3 linked regions of the Alligator mississippiensis genome follow. The protein of the gene in region 2 purifies or fractionates together with the protein of the main gene of each other region. This does not show direct contact. Links are inferred from orthologs where the notes say so. Each region holds a gene or a part of one and is shown on either strand. Other genes may lie near its edges. The genes, in order: DDX20, GEMIN4 and SNRNP70.

Evidence for each region.
Region 1: the proteins of GEMIN4 (region 2) and DDX20 purify together in Homo sapiens (co-immunoprecipitation; 7 studies listed by BioGRID and IntAct, counting the BioPlex papers as one, with this or other methods). This does not show direct contact. The link is inferred for Alligator mississippiensis from reciprocal best matches to the Homo sapiens genes GEMIN4 and DDX20.
Region 3: the proteins of GEMIN4 (region 2) and SNRNP70 purify together in Homo sapiens (affinity purification with mass spectrometry; 5 studies listed by BioGRID and IntAct, counting the BioPlex papers as one, with this or other methods). This does not show direct contact. The link is inferred for Alligator mississippiensis from reciprocal best matches to the Homo sapiens genes GEMIN4 and SNRNP70.

The regions. Positions count from the first base shown.
Region 1 is NC_081837.1:44,046,449-44,050,190, forward strand, and holds the start of DDX20 (probable ATP-dependent RNA helicase DDX20), read left to right. Parts: upstream 1-1,101; 5' UTR 1,102-1,132; coding exon 1,133-1,316; intron 1,317-1,408; coding exon 1,409-1,503; intron 1,504-2,917; coding exon 2,918-3,086; intron 3,087-3,403; coding exon 3,404-3,518; intron 3,519-3,610; coding exon 3,611-3,742.
Region 2 is NC_081837.1:2,822,496-2,826,237, reverse strand, and holds the start of GEMIN4 (gem-associated protein 4), read right to left. Parts: upstream 2,925-3,742; 5' UTR 2,858-2,924; coding exon 2,848-2,857; intron 2,598-2,847; exon of another isoform or gene 2,165-2,597; coding exon 1-2,164. Other genes in the region: acyl-CoA-binding protein, read left to right, coding at 3,441-3,704. UniProt on the Homo sapiens protein: The SMN complex catalyzes the assembly of small nuclear ribonucleoproteins (snRNPs), the building blocks of the spliceosome, and thereby plays an important role in the splicing of cellular pre-mRNAs.
Region 3 is NC_081828.1:39,884,525-39,888,266, forward strand, and holds the start of SNRNP70 (U1 small nuclear ribonucleoprotein 70 kDa), read right to left. Parts: upstream 2,218-3,742; 5' UTR 2,108-2,217; intron 1,805-2,107; 5' UTR 1,795-1,804; coding exon 1,648-1,794; intron 1,485-1,647; coding exon 1,422-1,484; intron 671-1,421; coding exon 616-670; intron 437-615; coding exon 372-436; intron 182-371; coding exon 119-181; intron 1-118. UniProt on the Homo sapiens protein: Component of the spliceosomal U1 snRNP, which is essential for recognition of the pre-mRNA 5' splice-site and the subsequent assembly of the spliceosome. SNRNP70 binds to the loop I region of U1-snRNA.

The sequences.
Region 1 (3,742 bases), about 41 Mb from region 2:
CGGTGTCGATGGAGCGATGAGGGCAGGATGGGGCGGCCGTCATAGAGGACGTTCCCGTTTCCCGCTACTCTGTCCTCGATTGATACGCGACCCGACGGCTTGATGTCTCTTCAAGAGAAAAAGAGAGGACAACAAGGCGTCCGGTTGCGTATCAATATTGGACCGAGGACAACCGGGCTGTCTTGCACGGCAGCATAGGGAGGTGGCCTAGCCATCAACGCCGACGGGGCCTGCGGGTGCTGAGGAAGGCGGTATAGCGTGTGGCGAGGACTTGTGCGGGGCGTCTGCCGCGGGGAGGGAAACAGGCACTTTTCTGGATACGAAGTACCCTCTTCAGGCCTGTTGTTAAGCGTGAGGGGCTCGTAGGAGAGCCCACGGCCGCCCGGCACCCTGCTCCGCTCCTCAGGGCAGCGCGGCGGGCGGCCGAGGCCTGCGGGAGCCGTGCAGCCAGGCGAGGCGGCCTCCCGCCAACCTGCCCCTGGGCCGTGGGACAGGCCAGCGGGCACGGCACCTCCCACGCTTGGAGCCTGGGGTCCCGCTGTGTGCGGCCGGACTCCTGCTTAGTCTGACACGGGACACGCGTGTGATAGTGGGCACGCATTGGCAACACGCTTAGTGCGAGGGTATTAGCGGCTCTTGGGCCCGCCAGCGTGTGTTTGACGTGGGACACGTGTGTGGGTACATCTGAAGGGAGCGGGCGTTACTGTGCGCTCTGGCAACTTGCTTCGCCTGAAAGCGTTGGTAGCTTGTGGGGCACGTGTGTGATAAATAAGCATGTGTGTGATAAATGAGCATGTGTGTGATGGCAAGCACATGTGTGATGGCGGGCACATGTGTGATAAGGGGCACAGCTGGGCACCCTCCCTCAGTGTCCCTGCTGGTTTCCCTCATCCCTCCCCCCTACAAAAGGCAGCAGTGGTTCGGGCCTGCCTCTTCCCTGCCCCCCCTTCAACCCCGTCATGGTTTCTTCCAACCGCCTCCGTCTCCAGAGGCTGCAGTGGTTCCTCCCTGCCCCCCGCGCGACACCACATGGTTCCTTCCACTATCCGTAGCCGCGCCAATAAAGTTCTTTCCCGGAAGTCCCGCGAGCTTTTGCTTGTTCTCGCGAGAGCGCATCCACGCGCATTCCAAGATGGCGGCGCCCGCTGTGGCGGTCTCTCGTTTTCGCACCCGCGATGTGCTGGTGCCCGGCGGCCCGGCCGACTTCGGCTCCCTGCTGCTGTCGGCCCCGGTGCTGGCGGGGCTGGAGGCCGCCGGCTTCCGCAGGCCGTCGCCGGTGCAGCTCAAGGCCATCCCGCTGGGCCGCTGCGGCCTGGGTGAGAGCGGGGGGGAGGGGAGGGTCAGTGATGGGGGCAGGGGAGTTGGAGGGTCAGGCAGATGCCTAATCTGTGCTCCCTTCCCCCACCAGATCTCATTGTCCAGGCAAAATCTGGCACCGGCAAAACCTGCGTGTTCTCGACAGTGGCCCTTGACTCCCTCGTGCTGGAGAACCCAGCCACCCAGGTGAGCCGGTCTGCGACATGCGTGCCCCAAGTGGCACAGGCAGCCTCTGCACGTGGCACCTGCCAAGTCAGGGAGGGGGCAGGGAGCAGACAGCAGAGCAGCAGATCAGGCAGGGGACCAGCGTAGCACTTGGGGAGGGCGAGGGGCTCGTTTGTGACACGCCTGCCAAAATTTCTTATTTCACACCATAACAAACATGTTGTCCTCACTTTAGTCGCGTGTGAGAGCTGCAGCAGCGCCTGACATCCTTCATCTGGCAGGCGAGGTTATTTGAGTCGACGCGATATCTTTTATGAGACCAATCGAGAAGTTGGACAAAAGTTTTTAGCGAGCTTTCGGGCGCTCTCGTGCTTCGTCAGGCAATGGGAGTCTTTGCTGTTCTGAGACGGCAAGGAACGAGAGAAGCTAAAAGTGTGGCAGGATGCGAGTGACAATGGAAATAGGTAGAAATTAGGATAACGGAAGGTAAAATAGAGAAGGGAGGGGTGAGAAAAGCCGGGGGAAAGAAAGCCGAGGGTGATCAAGGGAGACTCTACAGAGGTAGTAATTGAAGGTGGAAAAGAAGTGGCCTGTGGAAAAGGAAATGGCTGGAAATTAGGAAGACAGAGGGCAGAAAAGTGGTGGGGGTGGGGAGGAGGGAGAAGAGCAATGTAAAAGGGAGGTCTGGCAGGTCAGGTACCTGGTGAATCGGATGTCAGGCAAGTTGTAATGTTATAAATCCATTGTCTGTATTGAGTCCATGATCATCCCCTCGGTGCATTTTGTTGTGTTTAATTGAATAATTGAAGGTAAAAGAGGGCGAAGGGAAAGCAGCTGTCCAAGGGCTGCTAGAAGCCTTGCAAGTGATGGAAAGAAATGAATAAAGCTCGTGTGTTGTGTATCGTGCTTGAGCCTCAGTGTGCGAGTCTCAGAAGCTCCCTGTGAGTGTACTGCTCTGGAGCTGTTAGTTTAATTTGGTGTCTACACTAGGAGCGGGCTGCTTGATGAACTAAAATGAAACAAGTTGGGGTGGAGGAGGACAGTATAAAGAAGATGTCATGCTTTTGGCAATTTTTAAAGTTTACAAATCCAATGTTATGAATTACAGTAAAAAGTACCATGCCAGGTTGAGACCTTTAGTTCAGGTAACTTCTGCTTGTTTCTCACATAAACATATTGTGGGCTGTGATGTTGCATCCTGCCCATAAAATGCCAGTCTGCTCTAGGAGAGAGATCCCCAAGGGGCTAGGGGAGGGGTAGAGCAAATTCAGTCTCCTTTTTACTGAACAAGTGCTATCTAGACTTACACTTGCAAAGGCTTTAGGCTGGCTATAAGACAACATCAGTCACTAAATCAGTAGTTTCAAGATGAAAGACTGTTTTAACCCTCTAAGCCATTGGTTTGGTCTTAAAGCCAAATTCGTCATCATTTCAGATACTCATCTTAGCACCCACGAGAGAGATTGCTGTGCAGATTCATGCTGTTATTTCAACTATTGGAATAAAAATGGAGGGCCTGGAATGTCACGTCTTCATTGGAGGCACCCCTTTAAACCAAGATAAAATCAGACTAAAAAAGTGCCACATAGCTGTTGGGTCCCCAGGTAAGAACCCACTTCAGCGTACTTTGGTAGAAACCAATGAGACACTTTCTGTAGTACAGTAATTGGCACACTTGAAATCTTGATTCTTGTCCCATAGTCATAGGGGACAGTTTCAGACCTCAAAGTTAAAGAAAATTAGACCAGAGAAGTATTTATAGTTTATAGATTATTCTAAATATGCTTTTTTAAAGAAAGGTTTGTTAAGGAAGTGGGTTAGATAGCAAGTTTTAGATTTGCGGTTGGTATAATTTCTTGTCTCGTCGTTAGATTCTTTCCGTAAATATTTGTGAAACTCAAGCGACTCTTCTTTGATGTAGGTCGAATAAAGCAACTTATAGAGCTGGACTATCTGAACACTGCTAGCATCCGCCTTTTTATCCTTGACGAAGCAGACAAGCTTTTGGAAGAAGGCAGCTTCCAGGAGCAAGTCAAGTAATAAACTGAGTTTCTCTCATACCTTAAAAATCTCTCTGCTCTAAAACACCTTATCTGAAGCATTCCCTTTCAATGTCTTTCTCCCTCAGCTGGATTTATTCTTCTTTGCCAGCCAACAAACAGATGCTCGCTGTTTCAGCTACCTACCCAGATTCGCTGGCAAATGCTTTGACCAGATACATGAGAGAGCCTACCTTTGTGAGGCTGAACCCCACTGATCC
Region 2 (3,742 bases):
GGACAGGGTTGGTCCTTCACCCGATGCCAGTAATGTGTGTAGCTGTCTAGGAGCTTGCAAAGGCCAAGAAGGAGAGGGAAGGGGTGGCAGGTCTTTATCCAGTGTTCGTCCTGCCCCGACTGTAGCCCCAGGACCTTGTTAAGGATGTGCAGGCTTAGCTCAATGTGGGCACAGTCTGATTTCAAGTAGGGCAGGACGAAGGCTTGGGTCACCTCACCGGGAGAGAGGAGAGGACTTGCTGAGCCTGGCTGCAGGAGAACAGCCAAGAACTCTAGGAACTGCTCTTTCTCTTTTGCGGTAGACAGCTTCCCCCACACCGTCTCCTTCAGGCACCTCACCAGCAGGCTGCCCCCCCTGTCCAAGCCCTCCTGGGCTTCCTGGAAGCTCAGCGCTGGGAACGAGCACAGGATCTGTGCCAGGAACTGGTGTGTCCCCAGGTTGACGACTGCAAGGTTGCAAACCTTCTTCACTGTGGCCTCCGGATGGAGCAGAGCCAGCCTCGCCACCGAGGCCACAGCCTTGGTCAGGCCCTGATCTGACGCGCTTCGCGTGATCTGGTTAAAAGCCAAGTTCAGTTCCTCCTGGAAGCCCTCGGTGAAAGCCTTCAAGCTCAAGGATAGGCCCCGCCCGCCCCAGGAGTCCAGGACGCCCGAGATCACTTTGTTCTTGTCGGGCAGCGACAGCTCAGTGTAGCACTCCAGGATGGTTTTGGTTACCTTGACCTGCAGTTCCTGGCTCTCTCGGTTGCTGGAGGAGAGACTGAAAGTCACCGTGGTCTCCAGCAGCTTCAAAACCAGGTCTGGTTTCTGGAAGAGGACTTTGTTCTTGATGAGGCAGGTGACCCAGTCCCTTGAGAAGGCCCAGGCCTTCTCAGAAGCAAAAATGGAGCACATTTCCAGGTGCCTGTCCATCTTCTGCTCAATGATTGTCATGGCCACCGAGGCCATAATGCTGCTGTCTGAGTCCTTGCCCTGCAGGTCAGGGTTGATCTGCTTAAGGAAGCCCATGATGATCTCTGCCAGCTCCAGGACCACCTGCTTTTCATCCTTGCTCAGCTCCCTGGCCTCAGCAAAGCACAGCAGGTTCTTCCCGAAAGTGGCAAGGCTGTCGAGGAGTCGGTAGCCCTCGTAGCAAACCTCCTGGCGGCTGTTCAGCATGCAATGCAGCTCTTCACTCCAGCCCTGCAGCAGGTTGTGGAAGAAGCGTAAGCCGACAAAAAGTTCTTCGCTGGACAGCTTGACCACGGACAGCAGGCTCACGCTCCGCTCCGCCTCCTTCACCTTCTCCTCCAGCCCCCGCGGGTGGTAGCGGCTCTCACAGTCACCATTCCAGAGGATGACTACGGACGTGATCTTGTCCAGATACTCCACGGTGGGCAGCACGCTGGACTCCTGCTCTACTACAGTGAACACCGACAGCAGATCTACCAGGTTGGCCAGGGCGTAGCATTTCATTCTGGGAGTGACAATACATCCATAGAGATGCTTTAGCCCATCAACCAGGACTGTGAGCAGTTCGGTGGTAAGAGGGGAGTCGCGCATGGACAGGGGATCGCCTTTAAACCTTTTCGGAGGCTGGCAGCCCTCATCCAGTGGCTCAGACAGGTGCTGGTGGATAAGGGCACTGAATGTCACGATCATTTGGTCCTGCTGCCCCTCCTTGTGCTTCATGATTTCCCACCAGACGTCCAAGAAAAACCTCAAGTCCGATGGGGTCGTCTCGTTCACAACGTACTCAACCAACAGCTCGAGCTCCTGCTGACAGATGCCCGCGGGCAGCGCCAGCAGTAGCTGCACAAAGAGCCGGGGTGCATTCAGCGCTTTAAGCAGCTCAAACAGAACTGTGCGGTTGAGACGGGGGATCATGCTGCACACCGAGAAGAAGGCGTCATCTTTCCACCTCTGGTCAACCTTGGCGGGCCCGGGGCTGGGCAGGAGGATTTTGGCCCAGATGATCATGACGGCTTTCTTCTTCCAGCTGCGGGGCTGGGGCAGGGAGGTGGTGCGGCCAGCGCAGATCTCCTTCAAGGCATCGGTGATGGGTGGCCCGACGTGGTGCCAGTCAGCCTTGGCCAAATCCGCCAGTGCCTTGGGGTGATAGCGCTTCGCAGCCAGCAGGAACCCGCCGTGCAACACCGCGGTTTCCTCACAGATGTTCACGGGCCCTGTTCAAACGGCAATGCGCAATGTTAGAGCGGAGAGGAAGGAGCCCCCAGGGCTGAGAGCACGGGGCTGGCACTGGGAGGGCCTGGGTTTGCTGCCCGGACTCCTTGCACACCACGGGTGGCGCGTCTTTGCTCTCCGCGTGCGTAAAACAGGGCTAAGCAAGACACCCCTCTCTCAACCTGCCTCCTCTGGGGTGGAGCGTACGCAGCCCCTGCCAGCGCAGCGGGGCCCCTCTCCGCCTCTAGCAGCCCGAGGTACAAGGATGCTCAGCAGGTGCGAAGGAAAAGGCCCCACGCCCCTTTTTACAGCTCGTTTCCGAGCCGGCTAGCGCAGGTTCCTAGGGGAGCGAATCTCCCTTTCTATTCCGCGCTGCCCAGGCCACACCTCAGTCGTGTCCCGCTGCAGGCTGCAATGAAAAGGGCTGGGGACACGGTAGGGTCGGGGCTGCTTTAGTCTGCGGGGGAGAAGCGGGAGGGGGCTGCTCTCAGGGGCCGGGACAAGGGGCAGGGCCCGGCCGCGGGGCAGGGAGACGAGGGATAGCTCCGGGCAGGGCAGCCAAGGCCAGAGGTCTCCCTCTTTCCGTCCCTCCCTGTCCAGCCCAGCCCCAGGGCAGAGGGCACGCCCTGCTCGGACCCGGGGCCGGGCTCCCCGGCAGCCCCAGCCCCCGGCCGGCGCCACCCACCCGGCTCCATGGCGCCCCGCGCCGCTCTGTGATGCAGCCGCCCCCGCACCCACGTGGCGCCGCGGCCGGAAGCAGCGAGACCGGAAGCAGCGAGACGCGCGGCGGCACGAGTGGCTCCCGCGGAGCCAGCGACCCCTGGAGGCTCCCAGCAGCACTGCAGCGCGGTAATTCCCCAGCCCAGGAGGGGCTGGAGGGTGCAGAAGTGGCCTCTGCCCCTGCCCAGAGCCCGCAGCGGAGGAGGAGGAGGAGGAGGAAGGGGGCATCCACGGGCTAGGGGCTGGGGGCGGCAGGCACCGATCCTGGGGGGAGGCAGTGGCACGCTTCACCCTGACTGCACGCTTCGGTCCCAGGGTTTTACAGCCCTGTTCTCAGCCCAGGCACCGTGCCCAAACCCTCCGATCAGGCTCTCTTCCCCCGGACGAAGGAGAGGCCAAGTCCCAGAGAACTGCCGTTCTCATTTCAGGCTGAACGGTAAGGCCATGTGAAGTATTTCTGCTCACGGCAACTGTATTTCCTTCCAGTGGTCGCAGCCCGGGTCAGTCCCCCGCGCCTGGAGAAAAGGGAAGGAGGAGGGTCGGCCCTGAGCGGACGCCATGTCTCAAGCCGAGTTTGAGAAGGTGGCAGCTATGGTCCTGCAGATGAAGATCAAGGTCACCGATCAAGAGCTGCTGGAGATTTACAGTCTCTACAAACAAGCCACCATTGGCGACGTCAACATCTCCTGTCCCTGCGCGATGGATGTCAAAGGCAAGGCCAAATGGGAGGCCTGGAACGGGCGCAAAGGGATGAGCAAGGAAGACGCCAGGAAGAATTACATAACCCGAGTCCAAGAGCTCAAGAACAAGTACGGCGCGTAAATCAGAGCGCGTGCTGGGGTCTGGTCCCCCCAGCATGG
Region 3 (3,742 bases), on a different chromosome or scaffold from region 2:
GGGGGTTTGGATTCACACTAAGGGTGCAGAATTTGGCACTGTCTCCATGCCTGGGCTTTCCTTGCTGTGAAGAAGCTGAAACAGCTTCGTGGGCACGATGCAGAAGGTGGGTTCTTACCCGCTTGATAGGGCCATAGACTTCAAATTCTCTTCTCAGCTTGGATTCTGTTGTGTCGTAGTTCTACAGGGTTTAAAGGACAGGCTGGTGAGGATTCAGGAAGATCAGGGGGCAGGGGGAAGGGAAGAGGATAGGAACCCCGGAAAAGGATCCCCCCTGACCCTAATGGTAAAAACCAAGATTAGACGCAGGTAAGTAATATGGAAGCTGTTTCTACACAGTATAAGAGGCAAGGAGAAGGGGAGACACTTACTACTCTGGCCACAAATAGGGTCTTGAAGGCATCACCCTGTGCATTGGGGTCGTTGTGTGGGTCCCCTGGATGGGCAGAAAACAAGGATATGTATAAGAGGTGGGCAAAGAGAACCCCTCACCCCCACAGTCACTGGGTGGCCTCCCACCCAAGTCAGAAGTGGGATAAGTCACAGCTGAGGATGGGCAGAGGCTGCAGAGCTAGGTTAGATGAACCGGAGCAGGAACCTCACCCCCTCACTTACACATCTTCAGCTCACTCTCCACCTCTTGCTGCCTCCGCTCAATCTTCTCTCTTCTCTGCAGAAAGGAAAATGAACAGGTAACAGCTGGTAGCTTTCCCCAGGTCCAGAAAGTGCTGGAAACCCCTCCCAGGGGAACCGGTAATCCCAGGGGGTAACAGGGGAGGTGGTGGAGCTGCATCAGGTAACTACCTGGTTGCTATGGGACAGGCTTGGGGTTGTTTCCCCAGTTGCTATGGCTCAAGACTGGGGGCCTTGCCCTGACTACTATGGCCTAGGTCATGGGATCATCATTCTGGTTACTATGGCACAGATCACAAACCATGACTTTTAAAGATACCACTGTTTCACCCTCAACATGCTCTGAGGGGTTGTTATCTTCAACTTGTAGATGGGGCTACTGGGGACCTCACCTCCAAAGTAAGCCAAGGCCAAGGACAAAACTGTCACAAAATACAACCCACCAGTCCTGGCTCCTAGCTCCCCAACTCCACTCAATCCCATTCCTCTCCTCTCTAGGGACAGAACCCAGACATCCAGGTTCCCAGCTCTTTAACCCACTAGGCTAGAGCAGAAAAGAGAAATAGACCCAGAACATCTGGGTTCTTTTTCCTGTGCTGGAATCATTGGAGAAGAGAAACAACAGAGAATATTAGAGAGAATGCGGTAGTTAAGTTTCACCCAAACTTGCCCCTTTGCCACATAATACAGGGATGGCTTCTTAATGCCCCCAGCCCCTTTCTCCCACCACTGCTGGCTGTAACACCAGGGGGCACTGGGGTCCTCTGAAGCTGGCAGGGCAGTTGTACCTTCCGCTCCATCCGCTCTTCACGGGTCTCGGCACGGGTGGGTGGAGGGGCATCACGTGGGTCCTGGAAGAGAGAAAGCAGCATAGTGGCAGGGCACCAAGGAGACATAAGGGTAGCCTGAACTGGCAGAGGGCAAACTTGGTGGCTTCAGAGCAAAGAAACAGAGAGAGAGTCCAGCATTAGCCAGTCCAGGCTAGGCTGCTGGGTGGGAGCAGTGAGCACTCACCTCAAACTCCCGGATGTAAGGGGCAATGCCAGAGTAGGGCTGGTTGTGGTGTTTCTCATGGGGCAGCTTCTCCAGAGGGGGCAGATAAGGGATGGGGTCTCGGGGGGCAAAGAGTGCCAGCAAGTTGGGGGGGAGGAACTGCGTCATCGTGGGGAATCTGATGGGGAAACAGCAGACAATGACCCGTCAGGAGCCTGCATGGAGCGCTGCCCCCGCCATGAACCCTGTTGGGCTGCAGACCCTCTTCCCCCATGTCCCCCCCCACAACACCGCTGCTCCTCCTGCCTGCCCCAACCTCCTCTCCCAACTGGGCTCGAGCCCAGCCCGCCCCCTTCCCACCGAGCCCTCCTCCCTCCCCACACACCCACCCCAGTCCCCCTCCCAGACCCTGCCCCATACGCCACTCCCTTCTCCCCCAACCCCCCTGCTCCTTCCCGCCCTCCCTCCCTCATCCACCCACCGCCCGGGCCGCGCCGCGCTCAGCTCCTCCTGCTGCTGCCGTCGCCGCCTGCCGCGGGCCTACTCTTCCGCCGCTCTGCGCAGGCGCAACCCTCTCACCGCGCCGGATTTCTCCGCTGCCGGGCCTAGTCTCGGAGGCAGCGCGAGACTCGCGGTAAGTTCGCGAGTGTCAAAATCGAGGCTCTTCCGCGGTCGCCGTCGGAAAATAGTCCCGGATCACGGGGAGGGGGGAAGGGAAGGGCGGGAGGCGGAGCCACGTGACAGTACGGGGACCGCCCCAGGTCAGTGCCATGCAACCAGGGTGACGGCCCCAGACGTGTGCCATAGCAACCAGAACCATGACCCCTGACCTGGGCCCTAGCAACTCAGCCAGTGACCCCTTACCAGTGCCTTGGCAACCCGAACCATGACTCCAGACCTGTGCCATAGCAGCTAAGGCAATGACCCCTGACCTGTGCCTTAGCAACCAAAACCATGACCCCAACTCATGCCTTAACAACCAGAACCTGACCTGTGTCAAAGCAAATGAGGCAATGATCCCTGACCTGTGCCATAGCAACCAGAACCACAACCGCTGACCAGTCCCATACAAACAAGAATGACTCTGACCTAGGCCCTAGTAACCAGGACAAGGACTCCAGTGCCATGCCATTGCAACTGGAGAAACAACCCCAGGCCTGTGTCCTCGCAACCACACGATAACCCTGACCTATGCCACAGCAGCTGGGGATACCACCCCAGGCCTATGCTATAGCAACAGACATAAGCACCAAATTTTATTTTTTTGCCAGTGTGGGCCCTGAGATGATGGGCATGTGGAAAGTTTTATGCATTTCAGGTGACACCCCGCTTCACGTGGGGGGCCAGTGACCTTGGGCCCCCACGTACTTGGCTCCTCTGACAACAGAACAATGACTGCTGACCTGTGCCATAGTAATCACAACAATGACCCCTGACCCAGGTCTTAGAAACCAGGGCATTGAGTCCTGACACATGCCACGGAAACTGAAGAAATGGCCCCTGATCCAAGCCACAGCAACAAGGGCAATGGTCTGTGACTTGCGCCATAGCAAAAGCAGCAGTGCCACCTAACCCATGCCATAGTAACTGCAACAATAAGCTCTGACCCAGGCCATAGCAAGTATGGCAGTGAACTGTGACCCATGCTATAGTAACCAGGGCAAAGACCCTAGACCTCTGCCATACCAACTGGGACAACAATCCCTGACCATTTCCATAGCAACCAGAATGGTGACCCCTGATCCATGCCATAGCAACAGGGGAACAACCTCAGGTCTGTGCCATAGCAACTGGATAATGACCCCTGACTCGTGCCATAGTAACCAGAACAATCACACCTGACCTCTGCTATGTCAACCAGAGCATTGACTGCTGATCTGCTATAGTAACCACAAAGATTACCTCTGACCAATGCCATAGCAACTGGGACAATGATCCCTGACCTGTACCATAGCAGCCAGGGCTCAGAAAGCAGGGTGACAACCCCTAATTTATGCTATAGCAACCAGGGCAAAGACCTCTGACCCATGTCTTACAAATCGTTGAATCACAAGAGCCTCCATACCCCAGGCCTGCCCAGTGGTGCCCCTGGACCCATATGTCCCAGGCCTGCTTC